Linked DNA regions of Oryctolagus cuniculus. The protein of the gene in region 2 purifies or fractionates together with the protein of the main gene of each other region. This does not show direct contact. Links are inferred from orthologs where the notes say so. Each region holds a gene or a part of one and is shown on either strand. Other genes may lie near its edges.

The links.
Region 1: the proteins of VAMP4 (region 2) and STX12 purify together in Homo sapiens (affinity purification with mass spectrometry; 3 studies listed by BioGRID and IntAct, counting the BioPlex papers as one, with this or other methods). This does not show direct contact. The link is inferred for Oryctolagus cuniculus from reciprocal best matches to the Homo sapiens genes VAMP4 and STX12.
Region 3: the proteins of VAMP4 (region 2) and VTI1B purify together in Homo sapiens (affinity purification with mass spectrometry; 4 studies listed by BioGRID and IntAct, counting the BioPlex papers as one, with this or other methods). This does not show direct contact. The link is inferred for Oryctolagus cuniculus from reciprocal best matches to the Homo sapiens genes VAMP4 and VTI1B.

Annotation. Positions count from the first base shown.
Region 1 is NC_091438.1:143,824,383-143,831,788, forward strand, and holds part of STX12 (syntaxin-12), read right to left. Parts: intron 5,182-7,406; coding exon 5,082-5,181; intron 1-5,081. UniProt on the Homo sapiens protein: SNARE promoting fusion of transport vesicles with target membranes. Together with SNARE STX6, promotes movement of vesicles from endosomes to the cell membrane, and may therefore function in the endocytic recycling pathway.
Region 2 is NC_091438.1:26,789,019-26,797,177, forward strand, and holds the start of VAMP4 (vesicle-associated membrane protein 4), read left to right. Parts: upstream 1-3,572; 5' UTR 3,573-3,793; intron 3,794-7,569; 5' UTR 7,570-7,610; coding exon 7,611-7,676; intron 7,677-8,159. UniProt on the Homo sapiens protein: Involved in the pathway that functions to remove an inhibitor (probably synaptotagmin-4) of calcium-triggered exocytosis during the maturation of secretory granules.
Region 3 is NC_091451.1:13,549,814-13,557,219, forward strand, and holds part of VTI1B (vesicle transport through interaction with t-SNAREs homolog 1B), read right to left. Parts: intron 5,941-7,406; coding exon 5,882-5,940; intron 2,641-5,881; coding exon 2,449-2,640; intron 1-2,448. UniProt on the Homo sapiens protein: V-SNARE that mediates vesicle transport pathways through interactions with t-SNAREs on the target membrane. These interactions are proposed to mediate aspects of the specificity of vesicle trafficking and to promote fusion of the lipid bilayers.

The DNA.
Region 1 (7,406 bases), about 120 Mb from region 2:
TCATAGGAAGCCTGGAGGAAGCTTCTGGCTTCAGCCTGGCCCCAGTGCTGGCCATGCGGCCATTTGGGGATTGGGCCAGCAGATGGAGGATTTCCCTGTCTCTCCCTCTCTCTCTGTAACTCTGCCTTTCAAATAAAATAAATAAATAAAATTTTTATTTGAAAGGCAGAGTTACAGGGGCCAGCGCCGTGGTGCACTAGGTTAATCCTCTGCCTGTGGTGCCAGCATCCAATATGGCGCCAGGTTCTAGTCCCAGTTGCTCCTCTTCCAGTCCAGCTCTCTGCTGTGGCCTGGAAAGGCAGTGGAGGATGGCCCAAGTGCTTGGGCCCTGCACCCACATGGGAGACCAGGAGGAGGCACCTGGCTCCTAGCTTCGGATAGGTGTAGTTCCAGCCGTTGCGGCCATTGGGGAGTGAACCAACAAAAGGAAGACCTTTCTGTCTCTCTGTCTGTAATTCTACCTGTCAAATAAATAAATAAAAGTCTAAAAAAATAAAAATGAAATGAGTTTAAGAAACATTATGACTTAGCCACTGTGGTAGGAGAAGAGGGATAAAGTCAAGAACAACTCAAATTTCAAACCAAAAAGAATGATAATACTGAAAGCAAGTTTGGGTGATGAACTTTTTTTCCTTTTTCTAGGATTTTTAACTTTAAATAAACAATATTATATGGGGCCGGTGCTGTGGCGTAGCGGATAAAGCTGCCACCTGCAGTGCTGACATCCCATATGGGCACTGGTTTGAGACCCAGCTGTGCCACTTCTGATCCTGCTCTCTGCTATGGCCTGGGAAAGCTGTGGAGGATGGCCCAAGTCCTTGAGCCCCTGCACCCACGTGGGAGACATGGAAGAAGCTCGTGGCTCCTGGCTTCAGATGGGTGCAATTCCAGCCACTGCGGCCAACTCGGGAGTGAACCACTGAATGGAAAATCTCTCTCTTCTTGCCTCTCTTTCTCTCTGTATAACTCTTTCAAATAAATAAATAAATCTTTAAAAAATAATAAACATTATAACAATAAGGAGGAGGGAGACATCATTTCCCAAGCTCTCCATCCCAAAATTATCTTTTAAATATTTTATTATAAATATTTTCCATTATGATCTTTGATGTTATCTATATTCATCAAGTTGATCAGGTAAATTTTTTTTAAGATTTATTTGAAAGTCAGAGTTACACAGAGAGAGGAGGAAAGGCAGAGAAAGAGAGAGAGAGAGAGAGAGAGAGAGAGAGAGAGAGAGAGAAGAGAGAGAGGTCTTCCATCCGCTGGTTCACTCCCCAGTTGGCCACAATGGCCAGAGCTGCGCTTATCTGAAGCCAGGAGCCAGGAACTTCTTCCAGGTCTCCCATGTGGGTACAGGGGCCTAAGGACTTGGGCCATCTTCCCCTGCTTTAACAGGCCATAGCAGAGAACTGGATTGGAAGTGGAGCACCCGGGTCTTGAATCAGCACCCATGTGGGGATGCTAGCACTGTAAGTAGCAGCTTTACCTGCTATGCCACAGCACCAGCCCTGATTAAGTAAATTTTATGTAAACATTTCTTTTAGACACTTTCCAGTTTTTAACTATTTCAAATAAACCTGAAGTGAGCCATTTTAATAGCTAATATTTATACAGTGCTCACCATGTACCAATACTGTCACATAAAACAACTCACTTAATTTCATAACAATCTATAAATTAGGTCCTGTTATAGCTCCTATCTTACCAATCAGAAAATCAAAGCACAGAGCGGTACACAATTTGCCCAGGATCTCTCAGTAAATGGCAAAGTTGGAGTGTAAACCCAGGACATTTGCATCTAAAGTAAACAGTTGTTATTTTCTCTCAGATTTTCTACTTCCACCTTAGGACAAATTTGCATGAATGGGGAAATTTTGGTCAAAAGGCACAAACTTTTTTATGACAATAAATACTGTCAATTAGCTTACTTAAGAGTTTTGGGTGAAGCATGAGGAATTCAGTACAATATGTGAAATTTATTTGAAGGCAGTATATTCAGGAGGAGATGTCAGAACACAAACTGGCCAAATGGACCAAAACTTAGGCTAGGGCACGAGGCTGGAAAAAGATCTAGGGACCATAATCCTAGGGGTGACAGGGAAATCTGAACGTACATAGGACTCCTGAGGGAGGAAGCACAGCAGGAGAAAAGTGCACAACCAACGGCCGAGCCCTGGGGGAGGCTCACTTCTAGGAGGTGACAGCCTCAGGGAAGAGGGCTGAGATCTGGGGGTTGCCAGAACTGGGGAAGAAGGAAAGAGAATCATGGAAAGGAACTTGCGGTAGAGACAGGATGTGCAAGAGGGTCAAAGGAAACTGAAGAAAAGTAAATAAACATTCAAAAAAGGCCACTGGATTTGGCAGTTAAATCACTAGTGATGGCAAGTAAACATGGAAAAAAACTGAAAGTAGGAGTTATGGTTTGTGTATAAGATAGTCATAAAAAGATGGGTTATGGGGCTAAGATTAACTAGATGACAAGAGTAGAAAGAAAAAAGGGCACTCAGCCAACAGGCAAAAAGGAATCAAGGAGTTGTATTTCACCAGAGAGGGTAATTTGTGGATCTATTTTGTGTGCGTAATGATCCAAACTAATGGATGGGAACAATGGCATGCATAATCCAAAAATAATTTCTGCTTGCCTTTAGAATACGTTAGATGAGAAACTTTTGGTAGCAAATTTAACTTTCTATTTATATTTCGCTTAGGCTACTATTTAACCCTTAAGCACTTTGAATATTCTGTCTGCACCAGACCCATAGACTCCTTTTTTATTACTATGAAAAAAGTGCACATTGCTTAAGTGTATAGCTGAGAAGAAGAAAGGGGTAATTTGAGAGCTGTCTGGGGATGCTGGATGGCAAGCAGGAACTGGCTCCTAAATGAAGTCAGCATGAATAACATCTAAAACACTCACAGATGGATAACTAAAAAGTGATTACAGCAAGATGACTTTATTTTTTTAGCCAAGATCAATTAGGGTTTTCACAATTTTTATATTTTTAAAAATGAATTAATTTAATTTAATTTGATAGGCAGAGAGAGAGAGAAAGAGATCTCCCATGTGCTGGTTCATTCCCTATATGACACAACATCAGAGCTAGGCTTGGTCACGCCAAAGCCTGGAGCCAGGAACTCAATCCCATGCAAGTGGCAGGGACGTAACTATTTGAGTCATCACCTGCTGCCTCCCAGAGCATGCTTTAGCAGGAAGCTGGAGTCAGGAGCCCCAGCCCAGACTTGAAAACAGTAGCTCTGATAGGGTATGCAGGGGTCCCAAGCAGTGTCTTATGCGACATACCTGTCCTTTTTTATAACTACTTTGCAGCGGGATGACAAAGCATGCAGTCTTCCCTCCTTTCTTTTGAACAAGAGGGCACCAAAACTCCTGACTGAACATATGCTACATTAAATAGGACAAACCAGTACTTTTCAAACTTTTATGACAGAAATAGAAAAAAATCTACAGTATAAATTTGACTTTATGACCTGGTACCATATGCACATATATGCATAAAATAAAAATTTCATGTATAGCTGGCATTGTGGCATAGTGGGTAAAGTCACTGCCTGCAACACTGGCATCTCGTATGGGCACCGGTTCAAGTACTAGCTGTTCCACTTCCAATCCAGCTCCCTGTTAATACACTGGAAGATAGCCCAAGTGTGCTTGGGCCCATGCACCAATGTGGGAGACCCAGAAGAAGCTCCTGGCTTTGGTCTAGACCAGCTCTAGCCATTGAGGCCATCGGGAAACAAACCAACGGATGGAAGATATGTCTCTGCCTCTCCCTCCCTCTTTCTCTGTAACTCTGCCTTTCAAATAAAGAAAATAAATCTTTTTAAAAAATTTCATGTAATAATATTTGCCCTATTTATGGTACACATTCTGGTTTTTCTACTCTATTTCAATTTTTTAAAATGCTGACCACAACACACTGAAATGATATCCTGTTCTATAGTTACAACCCACAGTTTGAAAAACAATTCAGAAGGCTTTGTCTTCAGAGTCATCAGGGACAGGGTATCATCATTTAAAACATCCAATAATGAAAAGCAGTGCAAATTAAGTGCCCCCAGTGAATGGTATGGAAGCTGAAAGCAAAGCAGAATCATAATGGGCTAACATAGGTGAAGGCAGTCTTCCTGGAAGAGGAAGGATTTGAGAAGGCCATGGTACAGGTAAATGAGTCAGCCACAGCGAAGGAGAGGCCACAAATGACTTCAGGAAAGCATGAAGAAAAGTCATGACATTGTTAAAGGAACAATGAACATCAATAAAATTGTGTTTTTAAACGACTGAAATGACCACTGAGCAAAGTGGCTTGAAGGTATTCTTGGGGCCAGTGTTGTGGTGCAGCGGGTATGGAATCCTGTTTGCTCTGCTTCTGATCCAGCTCCCTGCAATGCACCTGGGAAAGCAGCAGGGGGTGGCACAAGTGCTTGGGCCCCTGCTACTCAGGTGGGAAACTCTGAGGGAGTTCCAGGCTCCTGGCTTTGGCCTGGCCCAGCCCCTGCGATTGTGGCCATTTGGGGAGTGAACCAGCAGACAGAAGATCTCTTTCTGTTTCTCCCTCTTGTTCTCACTCTTTCAAATAAATAAACCTTAAAAAAAACAAAAAACACAACAACAGAGAAACCGTTTCCCCTGAGCATTTCCTTAGCCTGAGATCTATAAATGAATCATGATGGGATGTGAATATGACTGCAAAATATGAAAAAAAAATTATAGATACTGGGTACAAAACAAACTAGGACCAAGCCTCCAAACATAAAACTGCTAACCAACTCCAGAAAGATACACATAGAGATCCCTCCTCCATTAAACCCATTTGATTAAAACATTGATAACAGATTATTAATAACAGCAGCAGCCACCACATGTGGAGTACCTACACATGCCAGACACTTTGCTATACTAAGTGTACACTTTCTCTGTATCAGCACAATGGTCACATATCCCCCACTTTACGGGTAAGGAAACAGGTTCAGAGGAGGGCCATCTAGCACTTGGGGCCAAACTGCGTTTGTTTCACATACTGCCTGCCTACTGAATAAGCAAAACAGGAAGTACCAACCTGTTCTGAAGCAGATAAGGGAAGGGGCAAGGATCCCAATTCCTTCAGCAATTCATTTGTTTCCTTGGCCAGCTGATTGGTGGAGTGTTGTAACTGTTGCCTAGGAGAGAAAAGATCTGTTTCAGGATGTTGTCATTTCTTGGTGCTCAGAAATATTACCCCTGTAAACCCACTTCAAGGCATCTTCACATCACTGAGCAGAAAGAACCTGCCTCACTGACACCTACTGAAGGAAGCACAGATTGGAAATTTTAACTCTTGGGGAGAAAAGAAAAGTACATTAGCAGTTCTAATAAAAAAAAAAAAAAAAAGAAAGAAAAGAAAAAAGGGGCCAGCACTGTGGCGTAGCAAGTAAAGCCACCGTCTGCATCCCATATGGGCACCAGGTTCAAGTCCCGGCTGCTCCACTTCCAATTCAGCTCTCTGCTACAACCTGGGAAAGCAGAAGTAGACACAAGCTCTTGGGCCCCTGAACCCATGTGGGAAACCCAGAAAAAAGCTCCTTAACCCCTGGCTTCAGATTGGCCCAGCTCCGGCCATGGTGCTCATTTGGGGAGTGAACCAGCAGATGGAAGACCTCTCTCTCTCTGCCTCTCTGTAACTATGCCTTTCAAATAATAAATAAATCTTAAAAAATATATATATATATATTATATATATATATAAATAAAGTAAATGCTACCTATACCTAAGTCTTACCTGACCATTTCAATCCACTAAACTCTCTCATAAAACTCTCACAGTGAATTGCCCAGGACTTCTGCATAGCTAATGTTTGTCTTAGTCCACTGACCAGAATCCAGGCACAGATGGCTGAATAAAATGTTTATCAAAAGCAATGCTTCAGGCCGGCGCCGTGGCTCACTAGGCTAATCCTCCGCCTTGCGGCGCCGGCGCCGGATTCTGTCCCGGTTGCCCCTCTTCCAGGCCAGCTCTCTGCTGTGGCCCGGGAAGGCAGTGGAGGATGGCCCAAGTGCTTGGGCACTGCACCCCATGGGAGACCAGGAGAAGCACCTGGCTCCTGCTTTCGGATCAGCGCGGTGCGCCGGCTGCAGTGCGCCAGCCGTGGCGGCCATTGGAGGGTGAACCAACGGCAAAAGGAAGACCTTTCTCTCTGTCTTTCTCTCTCACTGTCCACTCTGCCTGTCAAAAAAAAAAAAAGTTAAAAGCAATGCTTCAAAAAAAAGGGGAAGGAGTGGCTGGCGTTGTGGTGTACCAAGTTAAGTCACCACTTACAGCGTCAGCATCCCATATGGGTGCCAGTTCAAGTCCCAGCTGCTCCACTTCCAAACCAGCTCCCTGCTAATGCACCTGGGAAACCAGCACAACGCAGCTGGAGTCCTGGGCCCCTACCATCCACATAGTCAAGACCTGGAAGAAGCTTCTGGCTCCTGGCTTGGGTCTGGCCCAGCTGTGGCCATTGTGGCTATTTGGGGAGTGAACCAGAGGATGGAAGATCTCTCTGTCTTTCCCTCTTTCTGTAACTCTGCCTTTCAAAAAAATAAAAATAAATCTTAAAAAAAAAAAAAAAGCATCGCTTCCCACCTACCCTAGAGGACAATCTCCTAAGACCTATGCTCATTTCCTAGCTTAAAGCTGCTTCTTTCTCGGCTTTATCCTTGGCTCCCTATCTGCTCTTTATGCTTGACTTTGTGGTTCTTCCCTCCAAAACAAAGAAGCCCTACGTAGTTTAAAATTACATAAGGAGTAGAGAGGGAAGGAAACCAGAGAAGGAAGAATATGTAATATAATAAGTGGGATTGGAAAGCAATGGAAACATGTAAGAGTCCTTTTCACTCACTGCTTCTTTCCTATGCTCTCAGGCATTTCTACACAGGTTTTAAGGGAGGTCAGAGAAACCACATGTGGCGGTCTGAATGTTTATGCTCCCCTAAAATTCACATGTTGGAATCCTAACCTCAGGTTTAATGCTCTTATAAATGAGGCTTCTGGGGCTGGCACTGTGGCATAACGGGAGAGCCGCCACCTGCAGTGTTGGCATCCCATATGGGCGCCAGTTCTAGTCCCAGCTGCTCCTCCTCCTAACCAGCTCTCTGCTATGGCCTAGGAAAACTGCAGAAGATGGCCCAAGTCCTTGGGCCCTTGCACTTGTGTGGGAGACCAGGAAGAATTTCCTGGCTCCTGGCTCCAGATCAGCCCAGCTCCAGCTGTTACGGCAATTTTGGAAGTGAACAAGTGGATGGAAGATTCTCTCTCTTTCTCTCTCTGCCTCTCTATAACTCTGCCTTTCAAATAAATTAATTAATTAAAAAAAAAAAAAGAGAGAGAGAGATTCCTTGGGCATTAAGCCTAGGTTAACAAGTG
Region 2 (8,159 bases):
GCCTATTGGATTAGGGTTTTACTCTCACAACATGAGCCTTAGTCACCACTGTTCTAAAGGCCCTGCCACACTTAGTCACATTGTGGGTTAGGGATTCAACATACGAACTTTAAGGGGACACAATTCAGTTCGTCACACTTTCCATGCCAGGCTCCTAGTTCTCTTAGTGTGTAAGATACTTAAGTGTTTCTGTACACTGCATTTCTCACCTTAAATAGCACATCACAGAAATACCCCCATGTTGGCGGGTGTAGATTTATGTAGTTCATTATAGGGGCTTATGACTATCCCCATGAATGGATATACCATGAGTTATTTCAGCAATTTTCTATTGTTGGACAGTTAAAGGCTTTTATTTTTTTTAAATTTTTTTTCTGAGTCTTGCTATTATAAAAATCATGTAAAGAATATAGAACACTGCCGGCGCTGTGGCATAGCAGGTAAAGTAGCTGCCTGCAATGCTGGCGCTGGTTCGAGTCCCAGCTGCTCCACTTCTGATCCAACTCTTTGCTATGGCCTGGGAAGGCAGTAGAAGATGGCTCAAGTCCTTGGGCCCCTGCACCCACATGGAAGACCTAGAAGAAGCTGCTGGCTCCTGGTTTCAGATCGGTGCAGCTCCGGCTGTTGTAGCCCACTGGGGAGTGAACCAACAGATGGAAGACCTCTCTCTGTGTGTGATTCTTTCAAATAAATAAATCTTTTTTAAAAAAGAATATAGAACATTTATATACAGCTTGACTGTTGATGGGATAAATTTTAGAAGTGGAGCTATTAGAACCAAGCAACTTCATATAAAATGTAGACACACACTATTACTCTGAACTTGAAAAAACTTTGCATGAATTTGTACTGTCATTATCAGTACAAATTCATCATTAACAGCGTTAGGAATACCGTTTCTCCCACTTGACCCCATACCACCATGCACATGCAACACTATATTATCCAACTTTTCAAGCTTTGTCATTGAGCTAACACAAAGGATCAAATCGTCAAACCAAACTCAAACAGATCCTACCTCTTACCCAGTATCAAACTATACCAATAACTTCAAGAATACGAACAATCAAAAGGTAGAAAGGGCAGATCCAGGACTCAGTGCTACTTCCTAGGAGCTTTCTTCCTGTTTCAGATATGTCTTGGCAAAGGGTAAGATGTGCTAAGTAAGGTGTGCAGTCACCCTACTCCTACTTACACAGGAGACAACTCAGTTACAAAACATCTCCATTTTATGCCAAGTTACAAAACTTACATGGTATTTTCCCAGGAGTCAATCCCCTGAAATCTACAGATCCCTGATGTGTTTACCATTAGCAATCCTAGCCCAGAGAAATTCCACTGGTATGGACTTTCCTGCTAATAAATATCAAGTTTATTTGCCAGAAGGTTTGTCATTATCGTATATATATGAATTTCACATTTGTTTGCTTGGTAGCAGTATTTCCCTATGGTGAGAATGGACTGCAGATCTGTTTAACTCCTCCTTTCCTAGTCACTGATACATGAAGAGTGGTATTTTATCTGTTTATTTTGATTCACATTTTTGAGTGACGGTTGAAATTTGCTCACATGCTTGTATTTGATTTGCACTTCTGCCTCATGACAGACAAGAGCAACAAAACGTTGAAAGCTGTTAAGTAGCTGAATCAAGTTGCACACCTGAGAAATAGATTCTAATCAGGTCATGGAACAACCTGATTTACACAGCTAAAGTTCACGTAAGGTTCAGGAACTGGAAGTGCCAGGTAATCCTGGAAAAGAGCATGAAGTGGGCTAACAGGAGGAATTACAGAAAATATGTTTAAGAATTGATCAGATGCTCATATTCCCATCCCTATCCCAGCCAAAGCCCAGAGATTTAGTCTTGGCAGAGGGCAACACATAGGTTCTCTAGTTACAATGACACTGGGGCCCTTTAGGGGTGAAGGTCTTACGTTGAAAAAGAGTTGGAGACTAGCTTTTGGGCCAGCAGTTAAGACACCACATCCCATATCTGAGTGCCTGGGTTCGAGGTCCCCATCACATTTCTGACCCTAGCTTCCTACTAATGCATGTCACTGGAGACAGCAGGTGATGGCTTAACCACGTAGGTGCCTACCACCCACATGGGAGTTCTGGATTGAATTTTCAGCTCCTGACTTTGACCTGGTCCAGCCCTGGCTAGTGTAGGAATTTGCAGATGGAACCAGCAGATGGAAGATCTCTCTCTGCCTTTCAAATAAATAAAAGGAATTTTTTTAAATGTGAAGAAAAAGTGAAGAATTACCGTCTCCATAACTGGAGTTCATGAGAAAGAAAACAGGGGAGGAAATAATATAATTCAGGTTGGCTGGAGTCCTGACTCTAAATTCAGTGTTATTTATCATCTTTCAGGTTTACTGGCATATTGGATTCATGGTAACTGTAAAACGACATTTTCTAAGTTTTCACACATGTTAGGGAAATCAAAGGGACTTTGTTCAAGTGATTAAAGGTGAAGTTTGTATTTTCCCTCCCGTAAGCAATCATACCAAAAAGACTGGCAGATCCTTTTGGTTAAAAGACTAAGAGGCCAACGCAGTGGCGCAGTAGCTTGAGCCACCACTTAGGATGCTGACCACCTGTATCAGAGCACTGGTTGGAGCTTCCTAGCTGACTCCCAGCTAACTTACATAGGAAAGCAGCAGAAAATGGCCCAAGTACTTGGGCCCTGCCACCCACGTGAGAGACCAGGAAAGAGAACCCAGCCCCTGACTTCGGGCTAGACCAGACCTGGCTGTTAGAGCCATTTGGGGAGTGAACCTGTACAAGGAAGCTCTCTTTCTCTGTGTCTCTTCCTCTGTCTCTGACATTCTTACTTACAAGTCAAAGCATTTTTTAAAAATCTAAAAAAAAAAAAAAAAAAAAACTAAGAAAAAGAATAGATTACTCACAAATAGTACAGACACAAAATCACTTCAGAGAAGAACTAATTTCTGGGTTATCCGTGGAGGCTGGGACAGAAACTACAAGAGGCTTCCATTCCAGATGGACCACTTTTGTCCTCATCAGTAGCGAACTCCAGCTCTTGAGGGAGCCCAACCCCACTGCTCGCAGTCTGTGAACATAGCAAACTAAATCAGAATCTGAGTAGTGCCCGGGCACCAGTAGTTTCACAAGCCTTCCGGATACGGCAACTCCAGGGGCAAGCCTTAGCGGCGCCTTTTCAATTAGTGCATTAAGTCAACCACACAGAAACAGCAGCAGCATGTAAGAGCGTGTCTACTTCCTCCTCTCCCTGCGTGTCCCTTGGTCCTCTAAGCCACCTTCCTCTTCCCATTCGACTTCCTCAGCCTGGGGACGGATCTCGCACAAGCACCACCTAAAGGTCTTACCGACCCCAGTCACGAAGCTCCGAGCCCCACCCTAAGCTACTTCTCAGCGGCTCCGACACCGCTCCCCTCGCGCCCACCACGCACGCCTGATGCGCGCCAGCACCTCGAGAACCACTGTTCCTCCTCAAAACACAGCATAGCTTGGGTATCCAGATCTCAGACGGCTGGAAGGCCAGAGGTTCTTCGGGGTTAGACGCAGCGGGCGGAATCGACTCCCTCGGCGATCGCCGCGCCCTGGGCTGCCCCCTCCGCCTGCAGCCAGGCCGCGGAGCGCCGATCGGCTCGATGAGCGGGGGCGCAGCTGCGGCGCAGCGGCCGACGCCGGGTCCGCGCCCACTGTCTCCCCCTCCCAGCCTTTTCCCTCGGCTTCCCGCTCCTTCCCCCGCCCGCCCAGCGCCGCCCGCTCGGGAGAGCTGCCGGGAGCTCCCCGGGAGCCTCAGGTACTGGCGCCGGCCTCTTCCCGGCGGGAGGGGCTGGTGTGAGGAGGCAGGAAAGGAAGACGACGCCCCTGCCCCACGGCCCCCCAACGTCCGGGTCGGGCTAGGCGGGCAGGGGTCTAGGGGCCGGGGGCCGAGGAGCCCTGAGAGGGAAGGGGTTGGGGCCGGGGTCGGTGACGGGGTGTGCGGATGGGGGGCGGTTGTGGAGACTGGAGGTGAGGGGTGCGCTGGGGAGATGGGAAGAGAAGGGTGCGTGGATGAGGAAGATTTGTTCAGAGCGGGAGGTAGCTGGGGTGAGTGGGTGTCAGGGGCAGGATGGGCCCGAGTTAGCAGACGTGGGGGTCCGTGGCCTGGTGCGATCGCTGGAGTAAGGGGAGCTGCCTGTTGGAGGCTATGGAAATGGTGCTTTAAGGAAGGGCTGGGGCGAAAACACCAGCCCGTGTACGTTTCTAACCCCGGAAGGCGGGGGTCGGGCAGTACACTTGACAGGTTGTATGAATAACATCTCCAGTGTGTCCAGCCAAGTCTCTATTTCTGAGAGAGGGCAACCAAAGCTGCTGAGAGATGGGAAAGAGAAGTCAGAAAGGGATTGGAGGCTGGGAAAAGGAAGGCTGCTCAAATTCCAGCTTTTGTGAACTGAAAAACATAAATGGTGTGTGTGTGTGTTTGGTTTTCTTTGGAAAGCAAAAAGTCAGCATTTATTAAGCAGCAGATTAGAAGGTTATTACATATAAAGCCACGGAATAGAGAACACACTACAAAAATGCGTACATGAGGTTTTTTACCTGTGATGATGATGTAAGAAGTATAAAGTGTTGTGACATTTTTAAAGTGAATTGTGGAGTGGTGCCTGTCCTCAGTGTGGCAATACATAATGGTGGCTGCCTCATTTACATACAAACACCTAAATTCACAGGTATTTTTGTAGGAGAAATCTTAGGCAGAATATGTACGAATCCAATAGCTGAGCGTGGTTTATTTCTACTAGTTTGATACAAATATCTGTTGCCTTGTGACTCCTCAAGCATAGCTAATTAATCTTCCTTCTGGCTTTTCTGTTTGTCAGACATGATTTCTTGACTTTGTGAGGTTGATTCTTGGAGAATGGGACCTCGAAGGGGGTTTGCTCATCATTAAGATCTTATCTTTAGGTCTCATAAAGGCATTTTACAAGTCTTGCTTTGGGGCTGCTGAGGCAGCCTCTTTGTAGGGTTTAAAATATAAACAAACACATGAGAAAAGCTCAAGTTTCTCAGTTATTTGCTTTGTCATCTGTTTTTCCATGCATTCTGCAACATTCCTGCATGGATGAATTATTTGGAAATTGAAATATGGGGAATAAATGGACAGGACGTATGTGACAAAAACTGTGAATTGAAGAACTCTGGAACTGTTACTTAGGTGGCAACACTGGTTTATGTGACAAGTGGTTGAGTTTCTAACTTGGAAACATTTCTTTTCAGTATTTTTTTTATAGGAAGCTGGCTCAAAATATTTATTACCTTTATTAGGTCTTTGAACCTATACCCTGGTCCTTTTTCTTTCTTCAGTGCCCAACATTAGCTAACAAACTAATGCCTAACAATACCTAATTTAAAGATCTTAAATTCTTATGAAGAGGGAACAGGGCTCCTGGATTATCATGGGAAAATGTGTTTTCCAGGACAGAAATGTGTAACCTAATTGAGTAAATATTGGAGCTAATTATGGGGGCAGGCATTTAGCATAGTGGTTAAGACACTGGTTAAGATGCTTGCATCCCACATTTGAGTGCCTGAGTTCCATTCCTGGCTCCAGCTCCTGGTGTCAACTTCTTGCTAATGCACACTCTGGGAGGCAGCAGAGATGGCTGAAATGATTGGGTTCCTGCCACACATGTGGGAGACGTGGATTGAGTTTCAGGCTCCTGGCATCAGCTGGTAGGGGACCATCGTGGACATTTTGTGAGCAAGTAGCTGGGAACATGTTCTCTCTCTCTCTGTCTCCCTTCCTCCCTCCCTCTCAAATAAGCAAAGAAAGCTGATAATGCACAGCTGTCGAGCAATTTAGGTTTATGTCTCTGCTATTTCAATGACTGAAATGACAAACACTGTTATTTGTATTTACTAAGCCTTATTTTTTCTCTCAGTTTCTTAGTGCCTACTTCAAAAGAGTATCAAAGATTAAAAGAGAAAAATGCATGTGTATGGCTGAGTGCAAGGTGCAGCCCATAGTAAATAACATTCAGTACATCTTAGCTATTCTGAATTGCTGTATATTCACCCATCAAGTTCAAAATGCTGAAAATTCATATTTGCATAGGACAGCTTTTTCTGCCAGAAAATTTTAATTATATTGCATACTCAAGCATATTCCTAGAAAGTTACTATGCATGTTAACATGTAAGGGGCTGAGATGGTTCTGTAGCAAAGACTGGAGCTACTTACCTCAGTTCTGATATAAGGAAAACAAACACAGCTTTTTTTTTTTTTTTTTTTTTTTTTTTTTTTTTTTTTTTTTACTGTCTCATGACACAGAACACTTTTGTGACCCTAGAATTGGGGGGGGGGGGGGCAAACAATTCTTTCATAGATTATCTGGTGGACACCAGCTGGGTGTCCTTGAATTCAGTTTAGTTCTGGCACTGTCTACCTGGAGATAGCATCAGACCCCACAGATTGAGAGCCCAGCCCACAAGGCTGCCCCCACTTCAGAGGCCGATCTCAAGTCCCATGTTGTTTTACATGTGCTTCTGATCTACCAACTGTAAATCAAGGTGGCCATAATCCTCCCCTTGGGTTCAGTGAATTTGGTCGAGTGGCTCATAGAATTTAGGGAAACACATTTCCAGCTTATAAAAGATATTACAAAGGATACCAAAGAACAACAGATGGAATGGAAGACACGCTCAGGGCAAGATATAGGAGGAAGTGTGTGGAGCTTGCATGCCTGCTCCAGGCCTGCCACCCTCCAGGAATCGCTGTATGTTTCACTGTCCTGAAGCTCTCACAGACATGGGCCTGTTGAGATTTTGTGGAGGCCTCATTAGTAGGCTTGATTGATTACATCATCACTGACCACTGGAGATCATCCCAACCTTCAGCTGTCTCCCTAGATAGTATAGGTTGGAGCTGAGAAGTCCTAATCATGGCTTTGTCTTTCCTAAACCTGCCACATCCTAAGGTACCCATGATTTGCTAGGCACCAGTCATTTTGTAGCATACAAAAGGCACTGTTAACACTCTGGCAGATGCCAAGTGCTTTAGGAACTGTATGTCAGGGAACAGGGTTGAGACCAAATATAAAATATATGTTTATGTGTATGCACACATAAGTCCTAACATCACACCAGCACTTACAAGCATCACTTTTCGTGGAGCACCAATGGTACACCATAATTTGCAGAATATTTCTGTATGTATTATCTTATTTGACCTTCCCAACTCCATGCCAGAAATCACTATATTACAGATGAGGAAACTGCACCATTGCTTAAACAACCAAATAAAAGTGAGAGAACTAGAAGTGTACTATCATCTTCTGACCCTAAAGCATTTAATGACTCATTTTCAGAGGGCTGCCTCATAGTTTTCCCCTCTGTTTGTTCTTTCATTTTATACAAGCCTTAATTCATTTATTCCCTACACGTGTTCTCTTAGGGCAGTTACATTTATTTGCTCATAGAGGCCTGAGACACTGGAGTGGAGCAAGTGAGAGGGGTGTGGTTGAAGTTAGAAAAATGAAGGAGGCCCCCTTATTCCAGGTGTCTCAACTCTGATGACATTTATTTTCTCTTTAAGGTGGTGAATACTTGCTCTGGTGGGAAGTAGAAGAGTAAAATATGCCTCCCAAGTTCAAGCGCCACCTAAATGATGATGATGTCACTGGTTCTGTGAAAAGTGAAAGGGTAAGTTCACAGTCTTAAGTTCAGAAAGGAATGATTCCAAATACATTCATTCCCTTTGTAAATAATAGAAAAAAACTAATGTTTATGGTCACTATAGGGACAGAGAAGAGGTGATCCTTTTCCTGTCCATCGTAAAGGGTCGTGGCTGACACCCCTATTACAGAAGACAGGTTAACAGGAGGAAAGCATAACAAATTTATCTGATCTTAGTTCAGTATGACTTGAGAGTCTTCATATTGGGGATCTAAAGATCCCAGGTGAACTACCCATTTGACGCTTAGGTTCTGTGAAGCATGTACGGCTATGTAGAAATATGATTGGGTACAAAAGGTGTGATCTAATAGAAATAGACTGGGGAGCAGGGAGACCCAGCTGGGCATATGTATTCAGATTCTCCTTTCCTTGCCTCCAGGTGTGAAGCAGGACCCTTTCTGGAAAGGGGGTCAGGTGACCTGCATTCAAACAAGATAGAGAACTTGTTCG
Region 3 (7,406 bases), on a different chromosome or scaffold from region 2:
ATTTTTACATCATTCTCATAATGTCTTAAGAAGTGTATATATTTTGTGGCCGGGGCCGTGGCTCACTTGGCTAATCCTCTGCCTGCGGCGCCGGTACCCCGGGTTCTAGTCCCAGTTGCCCCTCTTCCAGGCCAGCTCTCTGCTGTGGCCCAGGAAGGCAGTGGAGGATGGCCCAAGTGCTTGGGCCCTGCACCTGCATGGGAGACCAGGAGAAAGCATCTGGCTCCTGGCTTTGGATCAGCACGCTGGCCGTAGTGGCCATTTAGGGGGTGAACCAACGGAAGGAAAACCTTTCTGTCTCTCTCTCCAACTCTCCTGTCAAAAAAAAAAAAAAAAAAAGTATGTATTTTGAAAGTCAGATTTAGAGAGAGAGAGAGAGAGACTGAGACTTCTATCTGCTGGTTCACTCCCCAGATGGCCACAGCGGCTAGTACTGGGCCAGACTGAAGCCAAGAGGTTCTTTCAGGTCTCCCACGTGGGTGGCAGGGGCCCAAGTACTTGGGCTATATTCCACTGCTTTTCCCAAGCACATTGACAGGGAGTTAGATCAGAAGTGGAGCAGATAGGACATGAACTAGTGCCCATATGGGATGCTGGCATTGCAGGCAGAGGCTTTACCCGCTATGTCACAATGCTGGCTCCACAATGTCTAGTTTTAACAATAGCAGTGTCAAGACAGTATCATTCTGAATGTCTCAAACTATAATCCAGATGCATTATGAAATGTAACTTGTTTATAATTACATTACCAGCCTTTCTACACATGTTCAGTCTGCACTGGTGGACCCCCTTTTCCATTTCTACTCCATGCTACTTGCCAATTTCTATCTTGTACTGCATTTGTAGAAAAGAATCCAACTGTTCAGCATCTCTGGATGGTTTCAGAATACAGATTTTTCAATGAGTCCAATTTTATAAGAATCTTGAAGGCAAGAAAGGCAATCTGGTTCACTTCCCATTACAACAAAACAAAGTATTAGTCCCTTCTTAGGAAGCATCCTGCATTCTCCACTCTATGTGTCATCTTGATATTAATGTGAAGGAAGGCTTGGATTGGTTTTGTAACAATGCTCTGATAAAAACCTAAATGAAGACAGGTGTTTGGTACAGTGGTTAAAATGTTGTTTGGAATACCCATATCCTATATCCAAGTGCTGGATTTGAGTCCCGACTCCCAATTCCAACTTTCTGCTAATGTACACATGAAATGAAGGCTAATGCATGAAATGGGTCGTGTGCTTGGGTTCCTGCCACCCACATGGGAGACATGGATTCAGTTTCTGGCTCCTGGCTTTAGCATGGCCCAGCCCCAGATGTTGCCAGCATGGGAGATCTCTGTCTCTGTCTCTCTGCCACTCAATCATTAACATAAGACAAAAAGTCAAACTGAATTTTTTTTGGCATATTTGAGACAGTGACTCTAAAACTCATTTGAAAACATAAAAGCTCAAGAAGATAAGAAATTACGTTAATGGGTCAGGGATACAGAGTCCGGATATAATAACAGGTTTCACTTACATGCTGCTACACACAAAGCATTGTTTTATATATATGTCTTCAAAAAGTTCATGGAAAGCACGTACTGCGAAAAAACTAAGAAAACTTATTCATTGGGGGCCGGCACCGTGGCTCACTTAGCTAATCCTCTGCCTGTGGCACTGGCATCCCAAATGGGCGCCGGGTTCTAGTCCTGGTTGCTCCTCTTACAGTCCAGCTTTCTGCTGTGTCCCAGGAGGGCAATGGAGGATGGCCCAAGTGCTTGGGCCCTGCACCCACGTGGGAGACCCGGGGGAAGCACCTGGCTCCTGGCTTCGGATCAGTGTAGCTCCGGCCGTAGTGGCCATTTGGGGAGTGAACCAATGGAAGGAAGATCTTTGTCTCTCTCACACTAACTCTATCTGTCAAATAAATAAAAAATAAATAAATCTATTATATTAAAAAAAGGGAAAACTTTTATTCCTTTGAAAGGCAGAATTAAATCTTCCACCTGCTGGTTCAATCCCTAAATGTCCACATCAGCTGGAGTTCAGATAGGCCAAAGCCAGAAGCCAGGAACTTTATCCAGGTCTCTGACATCCATGGTAGGGACCCAAACACTTCTGCCATCATCTGCTGCTTCCCAGGGCGTGCAGGAAGCTGGGTCAGAAGCAGAGTAGCAGGGACTCAAACCAGGCACTCAGACACGGGACGCGAGGACTTCACTGCACAACTCCATTGTTCATGAACTTGTTGGAGATCCCCTCATACATGAAGCATGGAGATAAATAGGTATGTGTATGGTTTAGAAAGATTTGTTTAGGTGGGGACCCGGGGAGGAGGAGACTGGATACAGGAAAAAGGAGAAGGGTATACACAAGACAACAATCTAGGACATAGAATGTAGGCTATGCTCTACAACGTGGTTCATTCTTGTCTCCCAGGCCCTGATAAAGAACAGCTGGAGCTTACCATGTGCTCATTCTCCATGGCATATGTTCCGTACTTCATGTCTCCTCGGCCCCCAGGCGTGGCTGTCAAAGGTGTGCTTTTCACTTCCCGGTGGAGTTTGGCAAGGTCTTTCCGGTAATTTCGAAGCTTAGACATCATCGGGTTGCGGAAAGACAAGGGTGCGTAACGTAATTCCTCTTCCATCTCTGCCAGCTGGGAAGGCAGAAAGTCAGTCATGAGTAGATGGCCTGGTTCCTCGGGGGATGGGCCTGGTTTAGAGTAATCAAACCACAGAGTGCCCCACGTACGTCCTCAGCCAAATGCTTCATGAGGCAGAACTGCACCTGGCATGCTTAACTCATCTGAGTATCTCACAAGCATTAAAAAAAATCTGATGGGAACTGGTGTTGTGGCGCAGCAGGTTAAGCCACCTGCAACATCGGCATCCCACATGGATACCGATTCCAGTCCTGGCTGCTCCAGTTCCCATCCAGCTCCCTGCTAATGCACCTGAGAAGACAGACGAGATGGTCCAAGTGCCTGGATCCCTGCCACCCACATGGGAGATGCAGATGGCGTTCCAGGCTCCTGGCTTCTGCCTGGTCTAGCCTTAGTGGTTGTGGCTGCTTGAGGAGTGAACCAACCGATGGAAGATCTTTCTCTCTCTGTTGCTCCCTCTAACTGTGCCTTTCAAGTGAATAAATCTTTAAAAAAAAAAAAAAAAAATCTGATGAGAAAACAAAACAGAAGCACCTCAAATGACCAAAATGTTGGGCTGGGCCAGGCCGAAGCCAGGTGCCCAGAACTCCATCTGGTCTCCCACAAGGGTGGCAGTGATCCAAGTATTTGTGCCATTTTCTATTGTGCTTCCAGGCACATTAGCAGCGAGCTGGGTGGGAGGCGGACTGGCTGGGATTTGAACTGGCACTTCGATATGGGATGACAGCATCTTAAGTGGCAGCTCAACCACTGTGCCACAACGCTGGCCCTCCTATAGCTTACTAAGTATTTACATTTTGTCATTTTATCCTTAATAAATCGATTCAATAGGAAATACTCTCTCCATCTTACATATAAGACTTAAAAAAAAAAACTGCTCAAGATTACATAATAAGAGGAGTCAGGAATCAAAAATCAACTTCTTAGCTCTCCTCAATATACTAGTTTTCAGCCTGGTTGGCTCAACAGTGCGGCCAAGAAGTCCTGTGAGGACTAGCCTTGTGGCACAGTGGGTTAAGGTGATGCTCGCAATGCCGGCATACCGTACCAGAGTGCCAGCTCAAGTCTTGGCTGCTCTGCTTCTGATCCAGCTCCCTGTTAAGGTGCCTGTGAAGACAGCCAAAGATGGCCCAAGTGCTTGGGACCGGCCCCGATATGAGAGACCAGGATGGAGTTCCTAGCTCTTGGCTTTGGACTAGCCTAACCTGTTTTGGCCATTTTGGGGGGTGGGAGAGAATCATGAACCAGCAGATAGAAGATCGATCTCTCCCTCTTGCTCTGCCTTTTAAAAAAATATTAAAAAGAGGAGCACTTTGCGGTCTACAGTAAAAATGACAGGGTTTGGCACTTGCATTATTCACTTCCTCCTGTTTCTGAAAAAGTTATGTTTGTCTTCATGCAGAAGATAACCAGGGACCACAGAGCAGACTGCTTTCCCCTTTGTGGGATAGATAAAACACCTAGCTAGGTTCACAAGAGGGCCTATATTACTCATCAGCCTGGGTGACCAGAGTAGCTTTGTTAATTTTTCTAAGTTCTGAGAAATAAAGCATCTAAGCACCAAACAGAACGGTGGTAGGGAAAAGATTTTTTTTTTTTTATGCTACCAAGACGACTGGTCACAAAACGGGTATTACGGGTATATTCACCTGTACTAAGAAGGTATTAAGAGATTCTAGTACTCCCATTATAAAGGAGATGGTCTCCACAGCCTGGTGGCCTGGTCCTTTTTAAAACTGATTCAGTGATCCAACATGGGAAGCAGGCCACACAGCAGACTTACAGAATGACAAATGCTCTAATTAGCACTCTGACCTCAGGATCAGCCTGTAAGGCATTTGGATCTGGCTGAAAAGCCCATGAGAGCATTTCAGGCATGGAAAGCCAAGACACTGTGGTAACAAATAATCTACATGAAGGATCTTTGTGAGATCCCAGTGGAAAGAAGGGGCCATCAAAGGAGGTACCTTTCTCTGAAGGGAGGAGAGAACGTCCACTTTGCTTATGGCCCTGTCTAAATACTGATGGAGTTTGTGGACTCAAAAGGCTTCCATAGCCTTGGCAGCTCATGATAAAAGCCTTGGGTGATCACTGATGTCATAAATAAAGTGTTAATTGTTAAATTAATAATGCTGTGCACTGGCTCCACATTTAGGACCTCTGCCCTTAATAAGCTGTACTATGACAAGCTTTAGATCCTATCTGGGAATTCGTCCTATTAAGGAACCACATCTGGCTACTATTTTGTCTTTCAGGACAGGACGGAACATGGCTAGATCCACCTGTGGGCCACAGCTTCTGTGACAGTAAAAGTTTAACAAAGAACAGTAACTGTGGTACACTGGGTCAAGCTACCACTTGCGATGCCAGGATTCCATACTGGAATGCTGGTCTGAGTTTCAGCTACTCTGCTGCTTCCAATCCAGCTTTCTGCTTATGCTCCCATGCCACTCACATGGGAGACTCAGATGGAGTTCCTGGTTCTGGCTTTGGCCTGGCCCAGTCTAGCTCTGTTTATTACAGCCATTTGGTGAACCAGAAGATGAAAGATTTCTCTGCCTTTCCAATAAATCAATTTAAAAAAAAAAAAAAGGCAGAAAAACAATGTTAAGGGGCTGGCACTGTGGCATATTGGGTAAAGTCACTGCCTACAGTGCTAGCATCCCATATGGGTGCCAGTTCAAGTCCTGGTTGCTCCACTTCCGACCAAGCTCTCTGCTATGGCCTTGGAAAGCAGAAGATGGCCCAAATCTTCAGGCCTCTGCACCCACGTGAGAGACCCAGAGGAGGCTCCTGGCTTTGGATTGGTGCAGCTCCAGCCACTGCAGCCATCTGTGGAGTGAACCAGCATATGGAAGACCTCTCTCTCTCTTTCTCTCTCTGCCTCTCTGTAACTCTTTCAAAGAAATAAATCTTAAAAAAAAAAAAAAAAAAAAAAAAATTCACCATCTTAATGGCTAGAGATTTAAAGAGACCACGCAGTTAAAAGCTTGAGAATACTCTTACTACTCACATCAGGAAGATGTTATCAAAACTCTACTTCAGGAGAGTATTCAAGCTTCACCCATTTGTGTTTGTCAACTCCCTCAACACCCACCCCCTTTAGTTGCCTCACTAATTTAGTGAGAAATGGTAAAAATCAAAATCAATAGACAGTGACAGTTAATCTGCAATCAGGTCATAGCATTACTTCTGGAAATACCAGGTAGAAAAAGAAACAAAGACTTGCTCTTACGGTTTCATTTGCTTCTTGCTGCTTTTCATCAAAATCTCTGATCAACTTCTTCTTCTCTTCTAGAAAAGACAGGTAAGTTTCTAAGTCTCATTACTGCTTCCATACATTTGTATATAGGCCATTCCTTTAGCTTAGAATAAACTTCCCATTCCTGGCCTGGTGGGGGTAGCAGTATTTATTCACCCCAAAGGCATTTAAAAACCTATGATTGGGGCTGGTGTTGTGGCGTAGAGGTAAAACCACCCTCTGCGATGCCAGCATCCCTTATGGGTGCCAGTTTGAAACACAGCTGCTCCAGCTCTAATCCAGCTCCCTGCTATTGCACCTGAGAAAGCAGCAGGAGACGGCCCAAGTGCTCGGGCCCCTGTACCCACGTGAGACAAGGAAGAAGTTCCAGCCTCCTGGCTTTGGCCGGCATAGCCCTGGCAATTGTGGCCATTCAGGGAGTGAACCAGCAGGTGGAAGACCTCTCTCTCTCTGCTTCTCCTTCTCTTTCTGTGTAACTCTTTCAAATAAATAAAATATTAAAAAAAAAAAAAAAAAAAACAACTCTTAGTTACTGCTTTTCTGCAAGTCTGCTCCTTTGGGAGGCTGCAGGGTGTGGTGCTTGTCTCCCCCTGGTGGTGGCATGGGTAATGACATGCACCATGAGTGTCATTCCCTTTTTCAACCCTACACGTTATTTTGGTGCTGGTATGTCTTTATATGTAAAATTACTAAACTCCTCCTTTAACAAATATAGGTTCTAGCTCCAGAGCAGTAACTAAGTAAAACAGTGTTCTTTTGCTTTCACTGTAATTTTTCCAATAAGATTATATAGATTTTCCATTTAAAATATGATACCGTTTCCTTCTAACTTTACATGTTAAATAGATGTGTTTTACGTGAAATAAGTTTATGTAAAGAAAACAATTAAAAGTAAAAATGGTACTTGGACATGGCAAAAATACTAAGAGGATACTGGAATGCTGTTACCCAGGAAACATCTGGGGAGAGCGATCAGTCGTGGGCTTAGGTTCTGGTACTAGCTTTGGGTCTGCCTCAACATGTAGGCTTGGATAGTTTTCTTCAGCACTTTGGAACCTGACCTCTTTTCTTGGCTATAAAATGAGAGGTGGGCCATCTCTTTATTCATGGGCACTTCAAAAAGTTCATGGAAAATACGTGTTATAAAAAAAACTATTCATGGATTTCAAATATTTTTTGCACCAAACTTTATTTGAAAGTTACAGAGGTAGAGACAGAGAGAGAGGTCTTCCATCTACTGGTTCACTCCCCAGACGGCCGCAACAGCCAGAGCTGCGCTGATCCAAAGCCAGGAGCCAGGAGTTTCTTCTGGGTCTCCCATGCGGGTGCAGGAGCCCAAGGACCTGGGCCATCTTCTACTGCTTTCCCAGGCCACAGCAGGGAGGTGGATCAGAAGTAGAGCAGCCGGGTCTCAAACCGGCGCCCATATGGGATGCTGACGCTTCAGGCCAGGGCTTTATCCTGCTGTGCCACAGCACCGGCCCCTAAACTTATCTTT